3 linked regions of the Lonchura striata genome follow. The protein of the gene in region 1 purifies or fractionates together with the protein of each later gene. This does not show direct contact. Links are inferred from orthologs where the notes say so. Each region holds a gene or a part of one and is shown in the gene's direction. Other genes may lie near its edges.

Region 1 (7,562 bases):
AGCAGAGAGCTCCTGTGAGCTCAGCAGGACTCAGCCCTGGCACCCTGACCCTGCATCCTTGCCCCAGCACCAGAATCCCCAGACCCGGTACCTGCTGCAGGCTCCCTGCCCTGGCTCCCCTCCCTGTCGCACAGCCCAGACCCAGCACCCAGCCCTGCACCCAAAATCCTGCCCCAGCATCCTGCTGCAACATCCCACATCCTGCTGAGGCTGCCCTCCCCAGCGCCCAGCTCCCTGCAGCCTGTCCCATCACAGGGCCAGCCTCAGCACCCCGCTTCAGGTTCCTGGCCCTGCCACCTGTTCCCTCCCCCAGCTTGGCAATGCTGAGCCCTGGTGCCGTGCTTGTCCCCGCTGTCCCCTGCTCATCCCCATCCCATCTTCTTTTCCAGGTGCAGGATTTTGGCCTGAAGCACCTCCTGGGCATGGGCAGCCTGCGCCTCCTCTCGCTGGCTGGTGAGACCCTGACCCTCTGCCGGGGACCAGAGACACCACAGGGCTGGGGAGGCACGGGGCATGGGGACAGACAGAGCCCTGGGGACAGCCTGGGGACAGCCAGCAGGCACCTGCACCCAGCCCAGCCTGTGGGGAGAGACGCGGGGCTGGGCTCTTGGGCTGCACTGTTTTTTGGGGTGGTGGTGTTTCGGAAGCTATGCTTTTGCAATTCAAGTTTTCTGGGGTGTTGGGTTTTGAGGAGCTAGGGGACACTGCTTTTTGGGATGCTTTAGTTTTATTTTTTTTAATACTGGTCCTTTGAGATGTTGGGTTTTTAGGCTGACCTTGGGGTGCAGGTGTTTCGGAGCACTATTCTTTAGCATGCTGGTTTTCTGGGTTGTAGTGGGTGCTAATTTTGATGGTCTTGGTATTTTGGGGTGCCGGTGCTTTAAGGTACTGGTTTTTGTGTGCATTTTTGTGTGTATTTTTGAGTGCTGCATTCTTTGGTTGCTGATCTTTTGAGTGATTTTTTTTGTACTGTTAGGGTTTTTGGGATACATTTTTTTAGCACGCTATTTTTTTGGGGGTCCTGTGTGCTGAGTTTTGAGGTGCTGGGATTTTGAGGTCCTGATCCTTTGGTCCTGTTTGGGGGGATTTTGGCGTTTTGGGATGTCGGTGCCTTTGAGATGCTATTTTTTGGATGCTGTTTTTTGGGGGCCACTGGTGTTCTGCGCTGACAGTGCGCCCTGTCCCCTTGCAGGCTGCCCCTTGCTGACCACCACGGGGCTGTCGGGGCTGGTGCAGCTGCAGGAGCTGGAGGAGCTGGAACTCACCAACTGCCCCGGGGCCACCCCGGAGCTCTTCAAGTACTTCTCCCAGCACCTCCCGTGCTGCATGGTGATCGAGTAGCGCCGGACCCGGCCCACCCCGGCCGCCATCGCCCACCCCATCTCCCTCTGGCTGCTGGGGGATTCGAGAGACGCCCCCGATTCCAACCGAGCCCGGACATCCCCCGCATCGACGCCCCCGAGGGGCGCGGGGCTCCGGGGGAAGATGGGGGCAGGCGTCGCCCCCGGCCGGAGCCCCCCGGCTGCCATGTAAATTCCCCCCCGCCGCCGCCGCCATCGCCCGCGCTCGTCCCGGTGTCCTGCCAATCCCTTCGGACAGACGAACGGACATCACGGAAGCCCAGAGTGGGAAGGCGACGCTGTGTGACCCCCCCACCCCGGCCGCATCCTGCTCCCCCCGCCCCGGTGCCGAGCGGGCACACGGCCCCGCCGCCAAGGATGCTCTGGGCACCGAGGATGCTCCCAGGGATGGGCCAGAGGAGGATGCTTATTTTTGGGTGGCGGCGGAGGCTGGATGGGTCCCCTCACGCCCCTGGAGCGGGTCACCGAGCTCACCCCCCCACCTCCCCGTGCTGCGTGTCCCCTCCAGCCCCCAGCCCCGCCTCTGGGGCGCTTTCTCCCGGTGAATAGGATGCCCCTCTCCGCCCGCCCGCCGCCCTCGCATGCTCGCTTGCTTCAGTCTCGTGCTACGGCAGGTTTCGGGGTACCCGGGGGGACGGTGACAAGTGACAGCCCCACTGAGCCCCTCCACGCGGCTTCGTCCCGGCCGGATCCTGCCCCGGGAGCCGGGCTCCCCTGGCGAGCATCCCCCGCCGCCCTGGGGACCCCACTGCACCCCGCGGGGCTCTGGGGGTGATGCCACCGCCGAGGAGCGACCCATCCGTCTGGGATGGGACATCCCGGGGGACCAGGGCCGGGTCTGAGCCACCGCGGCAGCGCAGAGAGACCACAGGAGGTGGCACCTAGGACCCACTGCCACCGCCACCGCTCTTCCAGCTGAAAAGCCATCGCCTCGATACCGGCGGAAAGCGGGGCACCGGGGGGACCCCTGGGCCGCGCCGAGACGGGACCGAGCCGGCGCGGGGCTGGGGTGCCCACGGGGACCCGGCGCGGGAGGGGCTCGGTGGCCCCCCGCGGCATTGCCCGCTGCCACGGCAGCCGGGGGAGGAGCGTGGGCATGGATATGGACACGGACACGGGCACGGACACGGGATGGGCACGGACACGGACACGGACACGCTTTCGGTTTGTTTTGCCTTTGTACCGGCCGGGAAGGAACTGCTGCACCAACTGCCGCCTCCGCTCCCTGCTTTGTCCGAAACGCCCCTTTCTGACCCCAAAATGGCGCAAAGTGGCCCTGGAAGGGGTTTTGGGGGTCCCCGGGGCTACGGGACAAGGTGGCACTGCTGGGGCCTGGAGCACCCTGGCACGGGGGTGGAGGGCTGCCTGCACCCCCAAACCCTGCAGTGTCCCTGGGCGCCGGGGCCAGGCAGGACAGCGGCACACAGAGGGTCCCCCCACCCCTGCAGGTGACAGCAGCAGTTTTGGGGTGCCATAGCCCTGCACAAGCCCCTGGTCCCGGTTATACTGACGGCACCCATACCCTCCCCTGCACCCCCCATGGCAGTGGCCCCCATACCCCCTGCACCCCTACTCCCCTGTGCACCCCTATATCCCTCCAGTGCATCTGTACACCACCAATGCACCCCACATCCTCTCGACACCCCCATTTCCCCCCCTGCAGCCTGACCCACAAGGCTCCCACAGATCCCTGACCCCCAGTTATCCCCTTGCTTCCCCAACCTCCATGCACCCACATCCTAATGCCCTGGATCCCCACATCTCCCTGGCACCCTCTCCAATGTGCCCCGAGCCCCCCAGTGCACCCACACACCCCTGTGCACCCCTGAAACACCCCAGCTCACCCTACACCCTCAATGCACCTCATATCCCCTCGGCACCCCCATTTCCCACCCTGATCCATAATGCACCCCACATCCCCCTAAACCCCATTTTCTCCTGCGCTCCCAGTCCCTCTGGGGTGCCTCTCTGCCATCCCCGTTCCCCCCGGATCCCTCATCTCCCGGACATTCCCACCCCTGGTAACACCCCGGAACCCCCTGGTACTCTCTCCTCCTGCCCCCCCCCCAGTCCCCAGTACAGCTCCTACCCCTCCCACTCCATCCCAGCGAACCCCCACTCCCAGTGACCCCCTCGGGGTCCCCCTGCACCCCGGCCCCCGCACTGCCCCGATCCCCGGGCTCGGTGCCCGCCCCGTCCCCCCGATCCCCGTTCTCCGTGCCCGCCCTGCCCCCCGATCCCCGGGCTCCGTGCCCCCCTGTCCCCCCGATCCCCGGGCTCGGTGCCCCCCTGTCCCCCCGATCCCCGGGCTCCTGCCCGCCCTGCCCCCCGATCCCCGGGCTCCGTGCCCCCCTGTCCCCCCGATCCCCGGGCTCGGTGCCCCCCTGTCCCCCCGATCCCCGGGCTCCGTGCCCCCCTGTCCCCCCGATCCCCGGGCTCGGTGCCCCCCTGTCCCCCCGATCCCCGGGCTCCGTGCCCCCCTGTCCCCCCGATCCCCGGGCTCGGTGCCCCCCTGCCCCCCGATCCCCGGGCTCGGTGCCCCCCTGCCCCCCGATCCCCGGGCTCGGTGCCCGCCCTGTTCCCCGATCCCCGGGCTCGGTGCCCGCCCTGTTCCCCGATCCCCGGGCTCCGTGCCCCCCTGCCCCCCGATCCCCGTTCTCCGTGCCCCCCTGCCCCCCCGATCCCCGGGCTCCGTGCCCCCCTGCCCCCCGATCCCCGTTCTCCGTGCCCCCCTGCCCCCCGATCCCCGGGATCCGTGCCCCCCTGCCCCCCGATCCCCGGGCTCCGTGCCCCCCCGTCCCCCCGATCCCCGGGCTCGGTGCCCCCCTGTCCCCCGAACCCCGGGCTCGGTGCCTCCCTGTCCCCCCGATCCCCGGGCTCCGTGCCCCCCTGTCCCCCGATCCCCGGTGTGGGGCGCGCGGGGGGCGGGGCCTCGCCTCTGGGCGGGGCCTCGCCTCTGGGCGGGGCCTCTCGGGCGGCACCGGGGGCGGGGCCTGATGGGCTCCGGTGCCGGAGGGGGCGTGGCCTGAGCCGGCGGGCGGGAGCAGGCGCGGTCGTGTCCCAGAGGGGCGGGGCTGAACGGCGAGAGCGACGGAGGGGGCGTGGTCAGGAGCAGGGGGCGGGCCCGGGCGGCGGGGGCCGGGGCGGGCTCCGCACCGGGAAAGGGGCGGGGCCTGGCGGCGGGGCGGGTCTATCGGCGGAAACGGGCGGGGCCTGGCGGGAGGGCGGCGGCGGCGGCGGGGCCTGCTCGGCCCGAGCGGCCGGCGGGGAACCGGCACCGGGTACGGCCTCAGCACCGGGTACGGCTCTGGGAGCGGCCCCGGGGCCGCGCACGGAGGGGGCAGCGGCAGGGGACTCTGTGTGGCGGGAGGGGGTTGTGAGGAGGCGCCGGCGGCTCTGAGGGGCGGGAAGGGGCCCTGAGGAGGATATAGGGCGGGAGAGGCTCTGAGGGAACCCTGAGTGGGCTCTGAAGGGCTGGAGGCGGCCCTGGAGGGGCTCTGGGTCAGGAGCGGGCCCTGCAGAGCGGGAGGTGAGGGGTCTGAGGGGTCCTGGGGGGCTGTGGGTCAGGAGAGCCCTGAGGGGTGGGAGTGTGGGATATGAGGGGCTGGGCTGGCTCAGGAGTAGGACGGGACCCTCAGGGTGCGCTCAAGGTGGGAAGGGGCCCTGAGGGGGTGGGAATGTGCGGTGTCTGTGGGACCTGGCAAGGGAGGGCAGTGCTGTGGCAGGAGCTCGGCCTGGCTCTGGAGGGCACAGCCCGTGATCCCTCCAGAAGCCTGGAGTAACCGCTGCCCCCAACTCTGCTAGGGAAGGACGGTCATCCCTTGGTTCTTGCAGGCTCTGGAGCTCCGAGTGCCCCACGGAGGTGACCGTGGCCTCACTTCACCCCACCTCGTGCTGTGGACGCTGCTCACTTCAGCCACAGTGCTGTACTTGACTTATATTGTCAGCAACAGTGAAACATCTCAGGGTGTGGCCAAGGAGGGAAGAAGGAACCCAGAGAAGGTTTTCAGGAACTCTCCGAGAGGGAGCCACAGAGGGTGGCAGGAGGAGAACCCAGAGTGGGGCCGTATCTCCCTCCCACAGGCAGCTCTGTGGCCTCTCACCTCCACACCCCATTGATGCAGCTGCACAAAGCCACGGTCGGAGCCACCAGGGCCCGGCAGGAGCCCAGCCTGTCCCTGCCCAGCTCTGGCTGAGCTGGAGCAGGCTGGCCGTGTGGGTGTGCAGGCAGCCTGCTGGAGAGGGGACAGCACCCCGAGGACAGCCATGGAGAAGATGGCCAGGGTCACCACTGCCCTGGGGGGCAACGCGCTGACCGGCCGCACCATGTTCTGCCACCTGGACGCCCCTGCCAACGCCATCAGCGTGTGCCGGGACGCCGCCCAGGTGGTGGTGGCCGGCCGCAACATCTTCAAGATCTACTCCATCGAGGAGGAACAGTTTGTGGAGAAGCTGAACCTCCGCGTGGGCCGCAAACCCTCCCTGAACTTCAGCTGTGCCGACGTGGTGTGGCACCAGATGGACGAGAACCTGCTGGCCACCGCCGCCACCAACGGCGTGGTGGTCACCTGGAACCTGGGCAAGCCGTCCCGCAACAAGCAGGACCAGCTGTTCACGGAGCACAAGCGCACTGTCAACAAGGTGTGCTTCCACCCCACCGAGGTGTACATGCTGCTCAGCGGCTCCCAGGACGGCTACATGAAGTGCTTCGACCTGCGCAAGAAGGACTCTGTCAGCACCTTCTCTGGTACTAACGTGGCTCTTGTCCTGTTTCCCTGTGGGGAAGCACATTTTGGGAGCTTTGTCCTTTCATTGCTTGTCCCTTCACCCTTAGGAGAGGCAGGGGTGAGGGGCTTTGTCCTTCCCTGTGCCCAGGAGGAGGGTTTGCTCAGGGGCTGATGCCCAGGGCAGGGAAAGAAGGAGCTGAGAGGCATTTTGGTGCCTTTCCTTGCCTCTCAGTGCTAGCTGGGTCTGTGTGTGAGATGGAAGACAGTCACAGCACTCCCTGCTACCTTCTCTCTGTGCCACAGCTCTTCCAGTGGGATTTTTAGCATTGCTGGAGCTCCTAACTTGTGTCCCCTCCCAGGGCAGTCAGAGAGTGTGCGTGATGTCCAGTTCAGCATCCGGGACTATTTCACCTTTGCCGCCACCTTCGAGAACGGCAACGTGCAGCTGTGGGACATCCGCCGGCCCGACCGCTACGAGAGGATGTTCACAGCCCACAACGGGCCCGTCTTCTGCTGCGACTGGCACCCAGAGGACAGGTGAGAGTGGGGCCGGGCCCTGCCAGCCACCCAAACTTGCAGGACAAGAGAGACCCTAAAAACAGGATTGGGATTTTGTGGGGGAAAGCATGGTCTGTGATACCCTGTCCCCTTGTGTCAGGAGCTGGGATGTTGCTGGGAGATAGGAGTGATTGTTACTTGGAGCATTTGGGGTGGTGTAAGGGTGTTTGAGGTTTGGTTTTTGATAAATAAGGGGATTTTGTGGCACTGGGTGTCTTATGGTTGTGTAGAGCAGTGTCACAGTGGCCTCTCGCTCCAGTGTTCAGGTTGAGGAAGGCACAACTTGGCTGCTCTGGGACACAGCTCGCTTGTGTTCAGTCATGTTTCCCTCCACCCTTTCCTGGGAGTTTGCTGAGAAGGATCTAAAAGGAGCTGTTACAGTGTGCATGTCCCTCCTCACTCCCTGCCAGGCAGTGCTGCCACTGCTCGTGATCTTGGAGAGCACTGAAATATGTTCAGGATGGGCGTTTTCCTCTCTGCTGTGCCTGGCCAGTGGAAAGCAGAGCCAGAGGCAACTGGTCTGACTGGGATGTGGCTCTAGAGGTGCAGGGCTGTAACTGGGAGCGGGCAGGAGAGTGCTGCCTGGCCTGGTTGCTGCAGAGCAGAGGTGCCAGGGGAGCTCACGGGAGGATGGCATTGCAGCCCAGCCACCCTCCTGCGGCGTGCATGTGCTCACACCTGTGCTGTGAGCATTTCTGTGCCACGGTGGGGACAGAGAGGTGAACACTGATCCGTCCCTGTCCCAGGGGCTGGCTGGCCACAGGTGGCCGCGACAAGATGGTGAAGGTGTGGGACATGAACACGACGCGGGCCAAGGAGATCTACTGTGTGCAGACCATCGCCTCGGTGGCGCGGGTGAAGTGGCGCCCCGAGTGCAAGCACCACATCGCCACCTGCTCCATGATGGTGGACCACA
Region 2 (7,753 bases), on another chromosome or scaffold:
AGGACCTGCGCTCTGTGGGCCGAGCCCCAGAGCTGTTGGCCCGGCTTTGTGTGGAAAAGGGATCCCAGCCAGGGAGTGACCCAGGCTCGAGCCTGGCGTGCACGGGGAAGGCTGCTGGGCCACGTGCGTGCCGTGTGCCCAGCTGTGCGTGCCCGGGTGTCTCTGCAGGCAGCAGGACCTGTTCCGGGTGCTGAAGGCGTACACGCTGTACCGCCCGGAGGAGGGGTACTGCCAGGCCCAGGCGCCCATCGCCGCCGTCCTGCTCATGCACATGCCGGCCGAGGTACGGGCACGTGGCTCAGGGGACAGCTGGCACCTCCTGGAGCGTTGTGGGGCCCTTTGGGGGGTGCTGATGAGTGGGGTGCCCGGCTCAGGGCAACCCAAAGGGCTCCAGGGGTGCTCTGCTGCTTGCCACCCTCTCCCGTGGTTCCTGGGAGCAGGGAGTGGGCCACAGGGATGTCCTCTGAGTGCTCACCTGCTGTCCTTGGCTTGCAGCAAGCGTTCTGGTGCTTGGTGCAGATCTGTGAGAAGTACCTCCCTGGCTACTACAGCGAGAAACTGGTAAGTAAAGAGCTCATGGTGCTTTCAGCAGTGGCAGGGACCTGCAGGGTGCTGCATCTGGGTTGGGGCAGCCCCTAGCATCAGTCTGGGCTGGGGATGAAGGGATCAGGAGCAGCCTTGGGGAGAAGGACACAGGAGTGCTGGTTGGTGAGGGTTGACCACACCCTGGCCATGTGTCCTGGGCTGAACCCCCAGTGTGGGCAGCAGGGGAGGGAGGATTCTGCCTCTCTGCCCTGCCCAGGTGAGGCCCCACCTGCAGAGCTGCCCCAGCCCTGGGGCCCAGAACAGGAAAGACCTGGAGCTGCTGGAGAGAGTTCCAGAGGAATCCATGGAGCTGCTCTGAGGGCTGGAGGTCCTCTGCTCTGGAGCCAGGCTGGGAGAGCTGGGGGTGCTCACCTGGAGAGGAGAAGGCTCCAGGGAGAGCTCAGAGCCCTTGCAGGGCCTAAAGGGGCTCCAGGAGAGCTGGAGAGGGACTGGGGACAAGGGATGGAGGGACAGGACACAGGGAATGGCTTCCTACTGCCAGAGGGCAGGGATGGATGGGAATAAATTCCTCCCTGGGAGGGTGGGCAGGCCCTGGCACAGGGTGCCCAGAGCAGCTGTGGCCACCCTATCCCTGGAAGAGTTCCAGGCCAGGTTAAACAGGGCTTGGAGCAACCTGGGATAGTGGAAGCTACCACAGGGCATTTGGATGGAATGAGATGAGTTTTAAGGTCCCTTCCAACCCAAACCATTCCACAATTCTGAATCTCCAGGCCAAAGACTTGTCCAGCTCCTCACCCTGGGGAAAGAAGGGGTCTGAGGAGGGGCTGGGTATTCCCACAGTCTCCCTGTTGTGATGTGGCTCCCAGAAGCATTCAGGGATGGGGGTCTCAGTGTAGCATCCGTGGGACACAGCTCTGCTCACATCAGGTGTAGAGGGTTGGCTGCCCTTGCTGGGACCTGGCCCTGGGGGCTGATCCCAGGGCTGGGGTATTCACTGGGATGCTGGTCCCTGTCCCTGCAGGAGGCCATCCAGCTGGACGGACAGATCCTCTTCTCACTGCTGCACAAGGTCTCCCCTGTGGCCTACAAGCACCTGAGCAAGCAGAAGATCGACCCCATCCTGTACATGACGGAGTGGTTCATGTGCGCCTTCTCCCGCACGCTGCCCTGGAGCTCCGTCCTGCGCGTCTGGGACATGTTCTTCTGTGAAGGTAGGAGCTCCCCACCATCCTCCTCCTCCTCACGGGGTGACTGCACTCCCCACGGCCATGGGACCTGTAGCAGGGCAGGTTTGGGGCAGCCACAGCCACCAGTGGAAGTGGGCAGTTTTCCTGGGGGTTAGGAGGCATGTGCATTCCAAATTCACCCTCTTGCATGTCCTGACCGTTAGTGGGACTGGGATGTGCTGTCCCACAGCATTTGAGGGACACGGTGGCAGTGTCACCCTGTCCTACCTGGTACTCACTGCGTCTCGTCTCCTCTTGCAGGAGTGAAGATCATCTTCCGGGTGGGCCTGGTGCTACTCAAACACACCCTGGGCTCCTCGGACAAGCTCAAATCCTGCCAGGGCCAGTATGAGACCATGGAGAGGCTGAGGGCCCTCAGCCCCAAAATCATGCAGGAGGCCTTCCTGGTGCAGGAGGTGAGGTGCTGGGGACGGCCTGGGGGCCCAGTGCTGCCAGACTGGGCTGTCCCTGGGTGGGCGGAGCATGGGAAGCAGCCCCCAAAAAGCTTCCTTAGCAGTGCCCTGAGGGGGATCCCACACCCAGCCCCGGTGGCACTGTCGCTGATGGAGCAAGTGTCCCCACAGGTCATCGAGCTGCCGGTGACGGAGCGTCAGATCGAGCGGGAGCACCTGATCCAGCTGAAGAAGTGGCGGGAGACGCACGGAGAGCTGCAGTGCAAGTCCCCCCCGCGCCTGCACGGCGCCAAGGCCATCAGCGAGGCGGAGCCCGCGCCGCGCAAGGCTCTGGAGCCCGTCCCCTCCATCATCGTTTCCCCCGGGCCGGCCCCCGTGCCCAAGGCCCGCAAGAGCAAGGAGAAGAGCCGGGAAAAGGGCCCGGCCAGTCCTGCCAACGGCCCCGGGGCCGAGGGCAACGGGGCGCCCGGCACGACCCGGGAGCTGCTGCACCCGCAGGTCTCCCCCCACCACCAGTCCAAGGAGAGCCTGAGCTCCCGGGAGAGCGAGGACACGTACTTGTAGGGCCCGGCCCACACCCCGGGCAGCCGGGCTCAGCGGGGCTGCGCACGGACCCGGGCGCGAGGACACCCAGGGGGACCCCTGGCACCCGGCGCTGGGGGCTCTGAGCTGGAGGGATGGGACAGGGGGGCTGTGCGGCTCCGGGAGAACAGCGTGGCCCTCTCGGGGCATCCGTGGAGCTTGGCCAGGTGTGGTGACCAAAGGGGACACCGTGGGTCTGCGCTGGGTGCCCACCCCGCAGGGTGCTGGCACCACGAGCGGTGGGAGCCCGGGCAGGGGGTGGCTGAGCCACCCGAGCTCCCTCCCCACGCTGGGGGGCTGGGCTGCCCCTTGGGCCCCTCTCCCCGTCCCAGAGCCCCTCGACCCATCACCCCCCGGGTCCCTCCTGTAGCCCCCACCCTGCGCCAGCCGGGCAGCCCCAGCCCCAGTTCCTGAGCACTTAGGCCTGGCGCAGGGCACTGGGGGTACACGAGGAGCCCTGGGACCCCTCGCCCCCCTCTTATCTAGTGAGGATATATCAAGCTGTAGCCCTATATGTAGTACCCAACTTACCTACTCACTGAGCCTATTTATTATTCCTCTGAGGCAGGACAGGGACCGAGGCAGGATGTGCTAGAGGCGGCGGGATTTGTTGCCGAGTTTTGGGGCTGAAGGCCCCCCATCCCATCCCCTCCCATCCCCAAGTTCCCCACAGCTCAGGGGGAGTGTTTACCCTGCCAGGGCTCACCCCACCACTGCCACCCCCCCCCAGGCCCCAGCGCAGGTGAGACGGGGTGGGTGAGCAGCAGCCAGGTGCCCCCTGGTTGTGGGGTCCCCTCTGCCCCCCCCGCCCTCCCCGAGGGTGGGTGGTGGGTTTGTAAAATAAAGCGGGAAAAGCAGTTTTGTACAAAGGGGTCAATAAAGCGAGTGTGTAAAGGCGCAGCCCCGGCTCCCACCTCTCTTGGCCTGGGATGGGGCTGGAGGGTGGCAGGAGGCAAGGGTGTCACCTCCCCTTTGCTGCACCAGTACCAGCTTTGGGGGTACCCTGACCTGGACCCTGCCCATGGTTCTCTATCCCTGGGGGCACCCTCCCCTGCATCCCATTCGCACTGGACACTGACCCTGGCATGCACCCTTCCCTGGGTCCCTTCTCTCCTGGCTGCCCTTGTCCTGGGGGCAGGTGCTGGGCAGTGACCTGGGAAGGGCCACGCTGCTGTCACTGCTCTGTCACCGCAGAAGATGGCCCAGCCCTGCTGTCTCACCAGCCTTGTGGCTGCCCCTTTGAAGTGGAATGGGAGGAGACTGAGACCTGCCCCAGCTTGTGAGAGTGGTGGCTGCCAGGCTCTGGTGCACTCCCACCCCAGCACCCAGGCCTTTCCCCTTTTCCCACTGTCACAGCTCCTGTGGCTGAACAGAGCCAGGGGACCCCAAACTAATCCCATGACACCCCAGAGCTCAGCTTCCCATCCCAAAATAGTGCCCAGGCCATCTCTCTCTTTCTTCCTGCAGGCAAGAATTCTGCCCAAACCTCCATTCCTCCCTCCACAAACCCCTTTTTCCCAGGGTGGACCTGGTTTGGTGAATCCCCTCTCCAGACCTGGCGTTGGGGCTGAGCATGTGGGACCCGGTTGGGTGCTGTGGCTGGGGGTAGAGTGGGGTTGGCAGTGGCTCCCAGAGGGTCTCCCTTGGTTGGGCATGCCGGGCTGTTGAATTGAAGGTGGTTTGGGCCCCCAGGGCTGCATTTCGGGGGTACTCTGGGACTCTGAGTTGGAGCTGCTCCAGGCATCCTGGGGCGCTGAATTTGGGCTGGTTTGGGCACCACGGAGTTCTGCACTGGGGCTGGTTCCGAGGCTCCGGTGGGGCTATCCCGGGTGTCCAGTGCGGGCATCCCGGTGGCCCGGGTCGTTGCCTTTCTGGCGGTGCGGGGCGGTGCGGGGCGGTGCCGGGTCGCGTCCCGAAGCGATGGGGGCGGTCCTGGCGCCAGGCGGGCGGTCACAGGGCGGTCCCAGAGAGAAGCGGAGCGTTCCCGGATGGGTCCCCGGGCGGTGAGGGCGGTCACAGGGCGTTGCCGAACCGAGGCGGGGCGGTTCCGGGGCGATGCGGGGCGGTCCCGGGCCGGTCCCGGGGCGGTCCCGTGTCCGCCCTTATAGTGGCGGCGGCGGCGCTTCCCGGGGCGGCGCGGCCGCCATGGACCTGCACATCCTGGAGCACCGGGTGCGGGTGCTGAGCCTGGCCCGCCGCGGGCTCTGGCTCTACACCCACCCGCTGCTCAAGCTGCTCTTCCTGCCCCAGCGCTGCCGGTACCGGCTGTCCTCCCCCCGCCACCACCCTCCTCCTCCTCTTCCTGCTCTTCTTTCCCCGACTCCCGGCCCCGGGAGACGGCGGCGGTTTTGAGGTCAGCAGCACCGATTTCTTCTGCTTCAGATGCAAGTTCTTCAGCCTGACGGAGACCCCCGAGGACTACACGGTCATGCTGGACGAGGAGGGCTTCAAAGGTACCGAGTGGTGGGTCCCTGGCAGGGCGGGCTGGCACCGCCGGCGCGGGCTGTGCGCGTCCCCAGCCCGGCTCTGCGCCTGGGCCGCGGGGAGCGAGTCCCGGCTTGTGCTTGGCTCCCTCGGAGCGTGCCCGTCCTGCCCCAGGCGCCTGTGCCGGGGATGTGCCGGCTTGCCCGGCCGGGGCTCTCCCGGCGTGGCTGCCCTGCTCCGCCAGCCCCTCCCGGGCAGCGCTGCCACCGGGCTGCGGTGCCGGCCCGGAGCCCGGGCGCTCCGGCAGGGCGCAGGCTCCTCCCGGGATGCCCGCGGGCGGCGCTCCCGGCTCTGGCAGCCTGTCATCGTTCCCGTGTCCAGTTTCATCCCGCCCCTGCTCCCGGTGAGGGCCAGCTGCAGCTTTGGCAGAGCAGGGCAAAGCACAGGCGCGGCCAGGCTGGCAGGGGTGAGTCCTGTCCGGCAGCAGGGTCCAGCTTTTGGGGTGAGGTTGGATCCCTTCCAAGCCAGTCCCTCTCCCGGGGAGGTGCCACTTGGTGACGTCCCCACATGGCCCGGCACGTGCGGTGTGTCACCCTCACCGCCAGCCCTGCCGGGCCACCGGCCCGACGGGCTGAGCCAGAGGGTCCGGATCCCGCCCGCCTTCCCACGCCCAAACCTTCCTGCCGGGGCCGCCGCGGGTCCTTGGCCGTGACCCAGGGACAAGGTCAGCGCTCCGGCCACGGGCACTCGCGGCCAGGTGCCAGGCTCACCTCCGTGTGCTGTGGAGCGGGACCGTGTCCCGGGCTCTCCCCGCTCCCAGAGCCAGAGCCGTTCCCCACGTATTGTTGTATTTTGGGGCATGCAGACAAATATTCCTCAATCCCGAGGGGAGGGCGGGAAGTGCTGAACAATGGTCCTGCAAGCCTGCGGCCCCGCAGTGCCCCGTGAACCCCCCTTGGCTGCGGGCTGCCAGTGTCCCCCTGCTGCCGGGCTGGAAGGGGACCCCCAGCACAGGAGAGCTGCACCCCCTCTTCCCTTGGGATCAGGATTAAGCCCTGGGGTGGGTGACATAGGGACAGCGAGGCCCCCTTGCATTCAGCCTCGCCCAGGGTGGTGTTGAAAAGCGATTAAACACTGAGCTCTGGGACAGGTCCCCATGTCCCTGAGTCCCTGTCCCGCCCCGCTGTTCCCAGCACTGGGCCCTGGGCTGGAGCCGAGGCTGTTCTGGCGCTTCCTGCGCAGGAACAGGCGCTGGGAACAGCCGCCAAGGCTCCGGATCCGGCCCCGCTCCCGCCCTGCCCCGGCCCAGTTTGGGAGCGGAGTACAGAGCCTGTCCCCGGATGGGGGCCCCTCAGTGAGGGCTGGACCCTCCCCCGTGCAGCCTCCCCTCCACCACTGGCGTGGTGAGTCTGGGGTCTCAGCTGGGCTTGGGCACTGGCTGCCCACCCAAGGGCTGGGGGCTTGTGTGGTCTCCCATGGGAGCTGCTCCCACCTTTCCTGGATAGGAGGAGTGGACTGGAGACTCCTTGGGGCCCTGGCCCGTCCCTTGATGGGAAGGGGAGCCCAGAGAAGAGGGAGCAGCCTGACTGAGCCCTGGGTGCCCCAGCAGTGCCAGCCCCTCTCCTGGGCAGGAGGGTGGGAGGCAGGAGCAGCTGGTCTATGCCCACCCTGCCAACACCAGCAGATTTTTGGGAAGCAGCTGTGGCCCTCTGGCAGCCTGGGCTCTCTCCACCAGGCTGACACTAGGTGCTGGGACTCCCAGGACAGCAGGATGACCCTCTCCTTGTCCCCTCCAATGTCCTGTGTGCATCCCTGAACATCCCTGGTGGTGGGCGCTGGGCTGGAGGCTCCTGGGGGGCAGAGGATGAGCTGGGCAGCCCCACGGCCCTGGTGATGCTGGTTTGGGGGTGAAATGCCAACATCCCCATACACCCAGCCTGCGGTGCTGGCACAGGGAGGAGAGACACATCTTGGGGTTTGGGGGCCTGTAGCTTTGGCCCCCCTCGTCCCTACGGCCAAATCCCAGTGTGGAGCAGCTGAGCCCTGTCTGGTTCTTTCCACTGAGGATGGGGCTCAACTGCACCCCCAAACCAGTGTCCCCACACCTGGGGCTGATCCTGCCTTGGGGATCACCCATGGGACAGCGTGGCACGCAGTGCCTGAGCTGGCACTGGCTCTGTGTCGGGCTGTGCCTCAGTGTCCCCGGTCCCTCGCAGAGCTGCCGCCCTCGGAGTTCCTGCAGGTGGCAGATTCCACGTGGCTGGCGCTCAGCGTGGTCTCCAACGGGCGGGAGCCCCCCGGCTGCCAGGCCACCGGCGTCACCAAGATCGCGCGGTCGGTCATCGCGCCGCTGGCCGAGCACCACGTCTCGGTGCTGATGCTCTCCACGTACCAGACCGACTTCATCCTGGTGGGTGACGGGCACGGTGGCCCTGGCTGGCTGTCCAGGGGGAGGGGTGGCAGTGCAGCCCTGACCCCGCGCCCCGGGGCAGGTGCGGGAGCGGGACCTGCCCGTGGTGATCCACACGCTGGCCGGGGAGTTCGACATCTACAAGGAGGAGA
Region 3 (7,523 bases), on another chromosome or scaffold:
GTAGAGGCCGCGGAGACATGAGCGACCACTTTGCCTTCGCCACTTTCTTCCCCGAGATCCTGCAGCCCGTGGTGGGTCTGGTGGCCAACCTGGTGCACAGCGTGCTGGTCAAGGTGCGCTTGTGCCGCAAGACCGTCAAGCGCTACGACGTGGGTGCCCCGTCCTCCATCACCATCAGCCTGCCAGGAACAGACCCCCAGGACGCCGAGAGGAGAAGGTACCCCCTGCCCTGCCCTGCCTGGCCTTCCCTGCCCATAGGGATCGTGTCTGGGGACAGAAAGGGTATGGTTTAAAATCCAGCCAAGGAAGAGGGGGGAGATTTAGGTGCAGGGGCTGAGGAGGAGCCTTCTCCATGTGGTCTGCCATGGAGGTGGTGAGGAGCATTTCAGGGAGCTGGTGGGACATTATCCCGCTCTTCCAGATGTGGAGGAGCAATAGTAAGGCAGGGGAGATCCTGGGAAAGGGGCAGACAAGGTTGGGGTCCCTGCAGAAGAAAGGGGTGCAGCCTAGGGGTGGCAGCCTTCCACCAGTTCACCCTGGCCCAGGACAGGGCAGTGAGTCAGCCCCACACCCCAGCCCTCCAGCACAGCCAGCACTGGCCTTCCTGACTTCTGGCAGAAGGGTTTGGACAGGGTGCTGGCACTCCCTTTTCCCTGCTCTGCTTTATGCCTTTATTCCCCATTCCCGGAGCTGCTCTCGTGCTGACAGCCTCTGGCTGTACCACGTAGCATGAAAACTCTTTGTGAATAGTCTGGGAGCCAGAGTGGATTTCTGTGGAGCAGTCCCAGGCTCTCCAGGTTTTCCCCAGCACTACTGACCCCACCCTTTCCTGCTGGGAAGAAGCCGGGGACTGAGTTGCACAGTGCCCCATGGGGCAGCGCCAGTGACCCAGGGTTAACCTGCCCACGTGCCTTGTCCTGCAGGCAGCTGGCCCTGAAGGCTTTGAACGAGCGGCTGAAGCGAGTGGAGGACCAATCAGCCTGGCCCAGCATGGAGGATGATGAGGAGGAGGCGGCAGCAGCAGCGAAGGCTGACAGCCCTCTGCTGCCTGACCCCAGCACGGCCGGGAAGAGCCCTGGCCAGGAGTCCAACCTCATCAGCTTCCAGGACGCCCCGGCTCAGCTGTGACCGGCCCCTTCCCGCCCTGTCTCCGCTGGAGAGCTGCTAATCCCGCTGGGAGCGGGGACTCCTCCCGGGCACAGCCAGGGGGATACCTCATTGCAACGCTTCGCTGCTGCTCGCGGCCAGCACCAGGCGCCCGGACAGTGACACTGCCACCACCCTGAGGACAGGAATTCCTGGAGCCACTCCCCCAGCCGAGGCAGGCCGTGCAGACAGCAGGAGCTGTTCTGGGACAGGGACACGGGGCTGATCCCTGCCCCAAGCCGCTGTGCTGGCCCTCGAGGGATCGAAGTCAGCTTCTCCTCTGTGCCAGGGCTTTGCCAGAGCACTCAACACTTACTTTCTCCTTTCTGAAGGTAGTTTTGGCCCTAACTGAGGCAATAGGAAGGCTGGTGGGTTTCTCTTACAAATGTCTTTCCCTTGGGGAGCCTCTCCCCGCCCCAGCAGGAGCTCACCAGGCCGGGTGAGAAGTTTGTTGGGTAGGAGGGGGCAGGACACTGGGCAGGAAGAGGCCACCAGCCCCTCATGGTGGTGCTCCAGCACTGCCAGCTCCAGGCTTTGCATGGTGAGGATTCTCTCCTCCTTCCTCTCCTGCCCCCTCCCCCTGTGGGGAGCTGCTGCCCTTGGCTGCTCCCTGGCTAATCTGTTTGCCAGATTACACTAGAAGCTGGAATTAATTTTACAGTGGGACTCAAGCTGCTTCCTCTGGCAGCAGGTTTTCTTTCCTGCAGGTAGAATATGGGCTCCCCCTTTCTTTTCCCTCCCTCTTTGTTAGTGGAGTTTTTTTCCTGGATGGAGAGGATGCTCCCTGCGACAGCCTCCACAGCTCCTGATCCAGTGGGCAACTCCCAGCCTGGGATGTGGATCAGCAGTGTCATGATTATTTTTTTAAAGGACCACACGAGAAGGTTTTGTCAAATGGGAAGAACACAGACATTTGGGTATTAATAAAGAGTTCTTTGAAAGCACTGGCTCCTGCAGCAGAGCATGGGCAGGGTGGGGGACCTGGCCCAGAGCAGCCCCTGGGGGCTCTTGACAGGAGGCTGGGGAGGGGGCTTCTTCCCAGGTGCTCACAGCAGGGAGAGATGTCTGCCTGCACCCCAGAAGTCATCTCACCCAAAAAGGACAGAGGGCTTGTTGCACTCTAGCTGCCTGAAATGTTTATTGAATAAAAGCTCTGGATACAGAGGAATTTTTCAGCCTGGGAGCCGCTCCCAGCTCTCCAGCCCTGCCAGGAGCAGGATGCGTGTTGGAAGGAAGGCTGTTGTGCCAGCATGGAGTTTTCTTCCTGCCTTGCCAAGGGTTCATCACCCAGGTCCGTGCCTCCCCGTGCTCACGCTGTTCCCTGTGACTTGCTGGCTGCATGTTCCAGCCCGGCTCAGTAATTTGCTCTGTAAACTGACCCCACCCCACGAGGCCGAGCCCAGCCCACGGAGGAGGGGTTTGTGCGTGGCAGTGGGTGTCCAGACCCAGGGCCTTGGGGCAGAGCTGCACGCTTTGATCCCAGGGACTGCCCGTGCCATGGGGACACACATGCTGCTGTACCGTACGCGGGTGCCACCGCCCTGCCCCAGCCCTGCCAGGGCTGAAGCCACAACCGTGCCCTGTGCTTTCCTGTCAAGCTGCCCCCGTGGCAGGAGAGGCAGCATGGTGCCTGCTGCAGCCTCCCGGGAGAGAAGGGACCCCCTGCCCTCCTCACCAGGATGGCTCCTGTCCTGCCTGCTCCAAAGCAGCCCTGCGTGGGAAGGGAAAAGGAGCAGAGATCCTGAGTGAGCCCTCCATTTCCCAGCACTGAGCACCGAGCTGCCACAGGGACCAGCAGCTTCACCTGTGCCAGGTAACGTCCCCACCGAGGCAGGGCTGAGGTGTCACACACATCTGGAGCGGCTGCTCCCCAGGGACAGGACACTACGGACAATCCAGGACTAACGAAAGACAAGTAGGTAGAAACCAAGTTTCAAAGAGGCCCTGTGCAAGCAGGGGGACTGCCAGCTCTCTCCAAGGGGAGACCCAGCTTGCTCTGGGAAGTTCAGGTCAGCACCAAGCCCTCAGTGCTGGCTCCGCTTGCGGTACAAGTATGCGTTGCTCACCTGGTTCATGATAACCAGGCTGGTGACGAGGGGACACAGCATGGCCAGGTACCACGAGGCACCAGTCACCGTGGTGGTGAACCAGAGGGAGCACATGCCCAGCATCAGGCTGGCACAGCCCAGCAGGTAGCCCACCAGCCCTGAGGTTGCATGGTACAGCTTCAGCTTGGCCAGCGTCCAGTTCTTCATCAGCTTGGGGTAGAGCAGGAGCACGCCCCCGGCGCACTGCCCGCCGGTGTACAGCACGGCCAGCAGCCCCGTCAGCCCGTGCCAGGTGACAAAGTGGCCCTTGCCGTTCAGGTGCTTGTTGTAGCTGATGATTCCCAGCCCCAGGAGCGCGCAGAGCAGAGCGAGCAGCTGCAGGGCCCAGTGCGCCCGCACTCGGACTTTGCGGGAGAAGGAGCGCAGCAGCGAGGTCTCCGGGGAGAAGATCAGCAGCGCTTCCGTCATCAGGAACGAGAACTGGGGGCAGAGGGCAGCGGCATTGGCACCGGCCGAACGCCCCTGCGCCGCGGCTGCCGGGCTCGGCTCCCACCGCCCGGGGCTCAGCCTCCCGTCACCCGGGGCTCGGCTCCCACCGCCCGGGGCTCAGCCTCGCATCACCCGGGGCTCAGCCTCGCATCACCCGGGGCTCGGCTCCCACCGCCCGGGGCTCGGCTCCCACCGCCCGGGGCTCAGCCTCCCCTCACCCGGGGGCGCCCGGGGCTCGGCTCCCACCGCCCGGGGCTCAGCCTCCCCTCACCCGGGGGCTCCCGGGGCTCGGCTCCCACCGCCCGGGGCTCAGCACGGCCCTGCCTGCCCCACGGCAGCAGGGCGGTGCCCGGGGCAGCGGCACTTACCGCGAGCGCCATGAGCAGCGGGTGCCAGGAGAAGAGACCTGGAAGGGAAGCGCAGCGTGAGGTGAGGTGAGGCGAGCTGAGACATCCGGCCCTCCCCGCGCCCCGGGCCCCGGCCCCAGCGGCACTCACTGGATCCGGGCCGCGCCAGCACGGCCACGGCGGCGGGGAAGCCGAGCGCCACGAGGTGCGCGGCGGCGCCGGAGGCCACGCGCAGCGAGCGGTACAGGCGGGACTCGCTCTCGGCCGTCAGGGCCATGTTGGCCGGGCGGGCGGGACCGCCGCTGCCGACATGGCCGGGCCGCGGCGCGGGCTGCGATTGGCTGAGCCGGGCTGTCCGTCAGCGCCGAGGCCCGCCCCGCCGCGCCGCGCCGCCGCTGAGTGGCGGGCAGTGCTGTCGCTCAAGGCGAGAGCCCGCCCCGCCGCGCGCCCTGTGGCTCCGCGGGGGCGGCGCTACGGTGGCCGGCGGGGCTGCGGGCGGGTTCGGCCGCTCCGCGTCCCGCCATGGGCGGCCGCATCGAGTGCGTGTTCTTCAGCGAGTTCCACCCCACGCTGGGGCCCAAAATCACCTACCAGGTGCGGGGCGAGGGCCCGGGGCCCGCAGTGCCTGCCCGCGGCAGGGGACTGAGACGGGGCCGCGGCAGCGGCCGTGGAGGGGAAGGGGGCGCAGGGACTGGGGCGGCGGGCGCGCCCCGGGGCGGACGGGCTCGGCTGGAACGGGAGCTCTGTGCCGCCGCAGGTCCCCGAGGACTTCATCTCCCGGGAGCTGTTTGACACCATCCAGGTGTACGTCATCACGAAGCCCGAGCTGCAGAACAAGCTGATCACCGTGTGAGTGCGGGCGAGCCCCGGCCGGGCTCCCGGCCCCGGGCCCAGCCGGTCACTGCGGTGACCCCGGTACCCGTGCGGAGGGTGGGGGTCTCATCTAGGGGTGGCTGGTGCTGCAGCTGCTGCGCCGCCAGCCTTGAATCCAGGAAATCAGAGCAGTCAGGAGAGCTGTGCTGCTTTCGAAAGGACACTGCTTCCTTTTCTGAGGGCTGGCTCTTTCCTCCCCCCTCTCCCTTCAGACTGGGATTTGCACTCTGAGCATGTAGGGCTTAGGCATCACTTTTCCTGCAATATAAAGAAGCCCTGACCTGCAGAGCCGACCGGGAGCCAGCCTCGTGGGGGACTCAAGGCTTCCTGAGGGCACAGAGCAGGTGACAGGTGTCTCCACAGGACAGCCATGGAGAAGAAGCTGATCGGCTGCCCCGTGTGCATCGAGCACAAGAAGTACAGCCGGAACGCTCTGCTCTTCAACCTGGGCTTCGTGTGCGACGCCAGGGCCAAGGCCTGCGCGCTGGAGCCCATCGTGAAGAAGCTGGCTGGCTATCTCACCACCCTGGAGGTACAGGCTGCCTCTGATCCACCCCACAGAGCGTGGGCGCCTCAGCAGCATCCTGGAGCATGGTGGGGGCCGCTGGGCACTGCTGGGACAGGGGCTGGTTTTACAGCGAGGAGGGGATTGTGCTGGTTTCCTGCAGATCACTTCAGTCTTAAAGGGGTACAGGATCTGGGCTCCTGTAGCCAGCAATCCTGTGGGGAACAGCTGACTTGACTTTCTGCTCTCTTCAGCTGGAAAGTGGATTCATCTCCAACGAGGAGAGTAAGCAGAAGCTGGTTCCCATCATGACCATCCTGCTGGAGGAGCTGAATGCCAAAGGGAAGTGCACCCTGCCCATAGGTACGGTGAGGACAGGGCTATGCTGGGAGACAGCTGGGCCATTCCCTGCCCAGGTCAGCTCTGCCTGTGCTGCTCCCAGCAGCTCCCTACCTGTCTCCTTGGAGCTGGAGGTGTCCGACCCAGCCTTGCCCTACCTGGCTCCAAGGGAGGGGTGGGATGGGGTTATGGGCTGCAAGGACCTTGTTCTGTGTGACATTGTGGTGTCCTGGCATTGATGGTTGCAAGCTCCTGAGAGAGCTCTGTTTTGCACGGAGATTGAGCCTTCCCCTTCTCCCGGACAGATGAGTCGAACACCATCCACCTGAAGGTGATTGAGCAGCGTCCAGACCCCCCCATTGTGCAGGAGTACGATGTCCCTGTCTTCACCCAGGACAAGGATGACTTCTTCAATTCCCAGTGGGATCTCACCACGCAGCAGGTCTGTGTGCTTGACACTTTGAAGGGGATCCATTTCCAGACCATCGGAGGAGTTAGGCTGTCCTGGAGATCCCCACGTTTATGAGCACGGTTTGGTGCTGCCCTTGGCTTTGTGCTTGGGCCTGTGAGCAAATCATTCACCATCACGGGGTTAAAGTGCACCTGGGGACGGAGCCTGCCTATCCCAGCTGCTCCCAGATGCAGGGGAGCTGCTTGGGCTTCAGAGTGATGCCTCACTGCTCTCTGCCTCCTCCCCTCCCAGATCCTGCCCTACATCGATGGCTTTCGGCACGTCCAGAAGATCTCTGCAGAAGCTGACGTGGAGCTGAACTTGGTGCGCATCGCTGTGCAGAACCTGCTGTGAGTGCCTGGAGGGGCTGCATGGCCCGAGGAGGGGTGGGTGCTGCCAGAGAGCGCCTCTCACCTTGTCCTGTCTGTCTGCAGGTACTACGGGGTTGTCACGCTTGTCTCCATACTCCAGGTGGGTCGGGCCAGGGAGCGTGGGGCTGTGAGCAGGATTTGGGCAGTGGCTGGGGAGGGTGAGCAGTGGGGTTGGAGTGGGCCAGGCCTGTCTCTCAGAGCTGCAGCTGAGCCAAGCTGGTTTTCCATCACCCTCTAGTACTCCAATGTCTACTGCACCACACCAAAGGTGCAGGACCTGGTGGATGACAAGTGCCTCCAGGAAGAGTGTCTGTCCTATGTCACCAAACAAGGTACAGTGACCCAGCATGGGGATGCTGGCCCAGGCAGGGGGACAGGGCAGCTGAATGGTGACTTGTCCTCGCAGGGCACAAGCGAGCCAGCCTCAGGGATGTCTTCCAGCTGTACTGCGGGCTGAGCCCTGGCACCACCGTGCGAGACCTCATCTCCCGCTACACCCTGCAGCTCCAGAGGGTGGATGAGAGGTCAGAGCCCTGAGGGCAGTGGTGACACTGGGGATGGCAGAGAGAGCAAGCAGGAAGTACTGTGTCTGTAGGGTAGGAGGTGTGAGGCAGTGGCAGGACGCATGGAACAGAAGGGGAATGTGGGGAGCTGGGGCATTTGGCACCTCAGCATTGTGGTCCCAGTCTCTTTCCTCCTCACCCGCAGGAGGCTTATCCAGTTTGGTTTGATGAAGGGCCTTATCCGGCGGCTCCAGAAATACCCTGTCAAGGTGGCCCGGGACGAGCGGAGCCACCCAGCCCGGCTGTACACGGGCTGCCACAGCTACGACGAGATCTGCTGCAAGACCGGTACGGATCCCTGGGACCCACGGGATCCTCTGCTCCGTGTGGGCCCCAGGGCTGGTGGGAGGCAAAGGAATTGCCTGCCCACAGCTGTGCACTGGTCCTGGGT

The links.
Region 2: the proteins of WDR24 (region 1) and CASTOR1 purify together in Homo sapiens (affinity purification with mass spectrometry; 3 studies listed by BioGRID and IntAct, counting the BioPlex papers as one, with this or other methods). This does not show direct contact. The link is inferred for Lonchura striata from reciprocal best matches to the Homo sapiens genes WDR24 and CASTOR1.
Region 3: the proteins of WDR24 (region 1) and NPRL2 purify together in Homo sapiens (affinity purification with western blotting; 3 studies listed by BioGRID and IntAct, with this or other methods). This does not show direct contact. The link is inferred for Lonchura striata from reciprocal best matches to the Homo sapiens genes WDR24 and NPRL2.

What each region holds. Positions count from the first base shown.
Region 1 is NC_134618.1:3,113,176-3,120,737, forward strand, and holds the start of WDR24 (GATOR2 complex protein WDR24), read left to right. Parts: upstream 1-4,562; 5' UTR 4,563-4,660; intron 4,661-5,195; 5' UTR 5,196-5,627; coding exon 5,628-6,108; intron 6,109-6,447; coding exon 6,448-6,625; intron 6,626-7,392; coding exon 7,393-7,562. Other genes in the region: FBXL16 (F-box/LRR-repeat protein 16), read left to right, coding at 390-453, 1,193-1,341. UniProt on the Homo sapiens protein: Catalytic component of the GATOR2 complex, a multiprotein complex that acts as an activator of the amino acid-sensing branch of the mTORC1 signaling pathway. The GATOR2 complex indirectly activates mTORC1 through the inhibition of the GATOR1 subcomplex.
Region 2 is NC_134620.1:2,664,571-2,672,323, forward strand, and holds the start of CASTOR1 (cytosolic arginine sensor for mTORC1 subunit 1), read left to right. Parts: upstream 1-4,753; 5' UTR 4,754-4,822; coding exon 4,823-5,025; intron 5,026-5,149; coding exon 5,150-5,220; intron 5,221-7,407; coding exon 7,408-7,601; intron 7,602-7,683; coding exon 7,684-7,753. Other genes in the region: TBC1D10A (TBC1 domain family member 10A), read left to right, coding at 169-283, 496-561, 1,568-1,757, 2,034-2,188, 2,357-2,749. UniProt on the Homo sapiens protein: Functions as an intracellular arginine sensor within the amino acid-sensing branch of the TORC1 signaling pathway. As a homodimer or a heterodimer with CASTOR2, binds and inhibits the GATOR subcomplex GATOR2 and thereby mTORC1.
Region 3 is NC_134614.1:8,469,837-8,477,359, forward strand, and holds the start of NPRL2 (GATOR1 complex protein NPRL2), read left to right. Parts: upstream 1-4,523; 5' UTR 4,524-4,552; coding exon 4,553-4,624; intron 4,625-4,787; coding exon 4,788-4,879; intron 4,880-5,266; coding exon 5,267-5,435; intron 5,436-5,662; coding exon 5,663-5,771; intron 5,772-6,052; coding exon 6,053-6,189; intron 6,190-6,450; coding exon 6,451-6,548; intron 6,549-6,632; coding exon 6,633-6,669; intron 6,670-6,807; coding exon 6,808-6,901; intron 6,902-6,975; coding exon 6,976-7,093; intron 7,094-7,277; coding exon 7,278-7,523. Other genes in the region: TMEM115 (transmembrane protein 115), read left to right, coding at 1-217, 924-1,128; transmembrane reductase CYB561D2, read right to left, coding at 3,171-3,674, 4,052-4,089, 4,181-4,307. UniProt on the Homo sapiens protein: Catalytic component of the GATOR1 complex, a multiprotein complex that functions as an inhibitor of the amino acid-sensing branch of the mTORC1 pathway.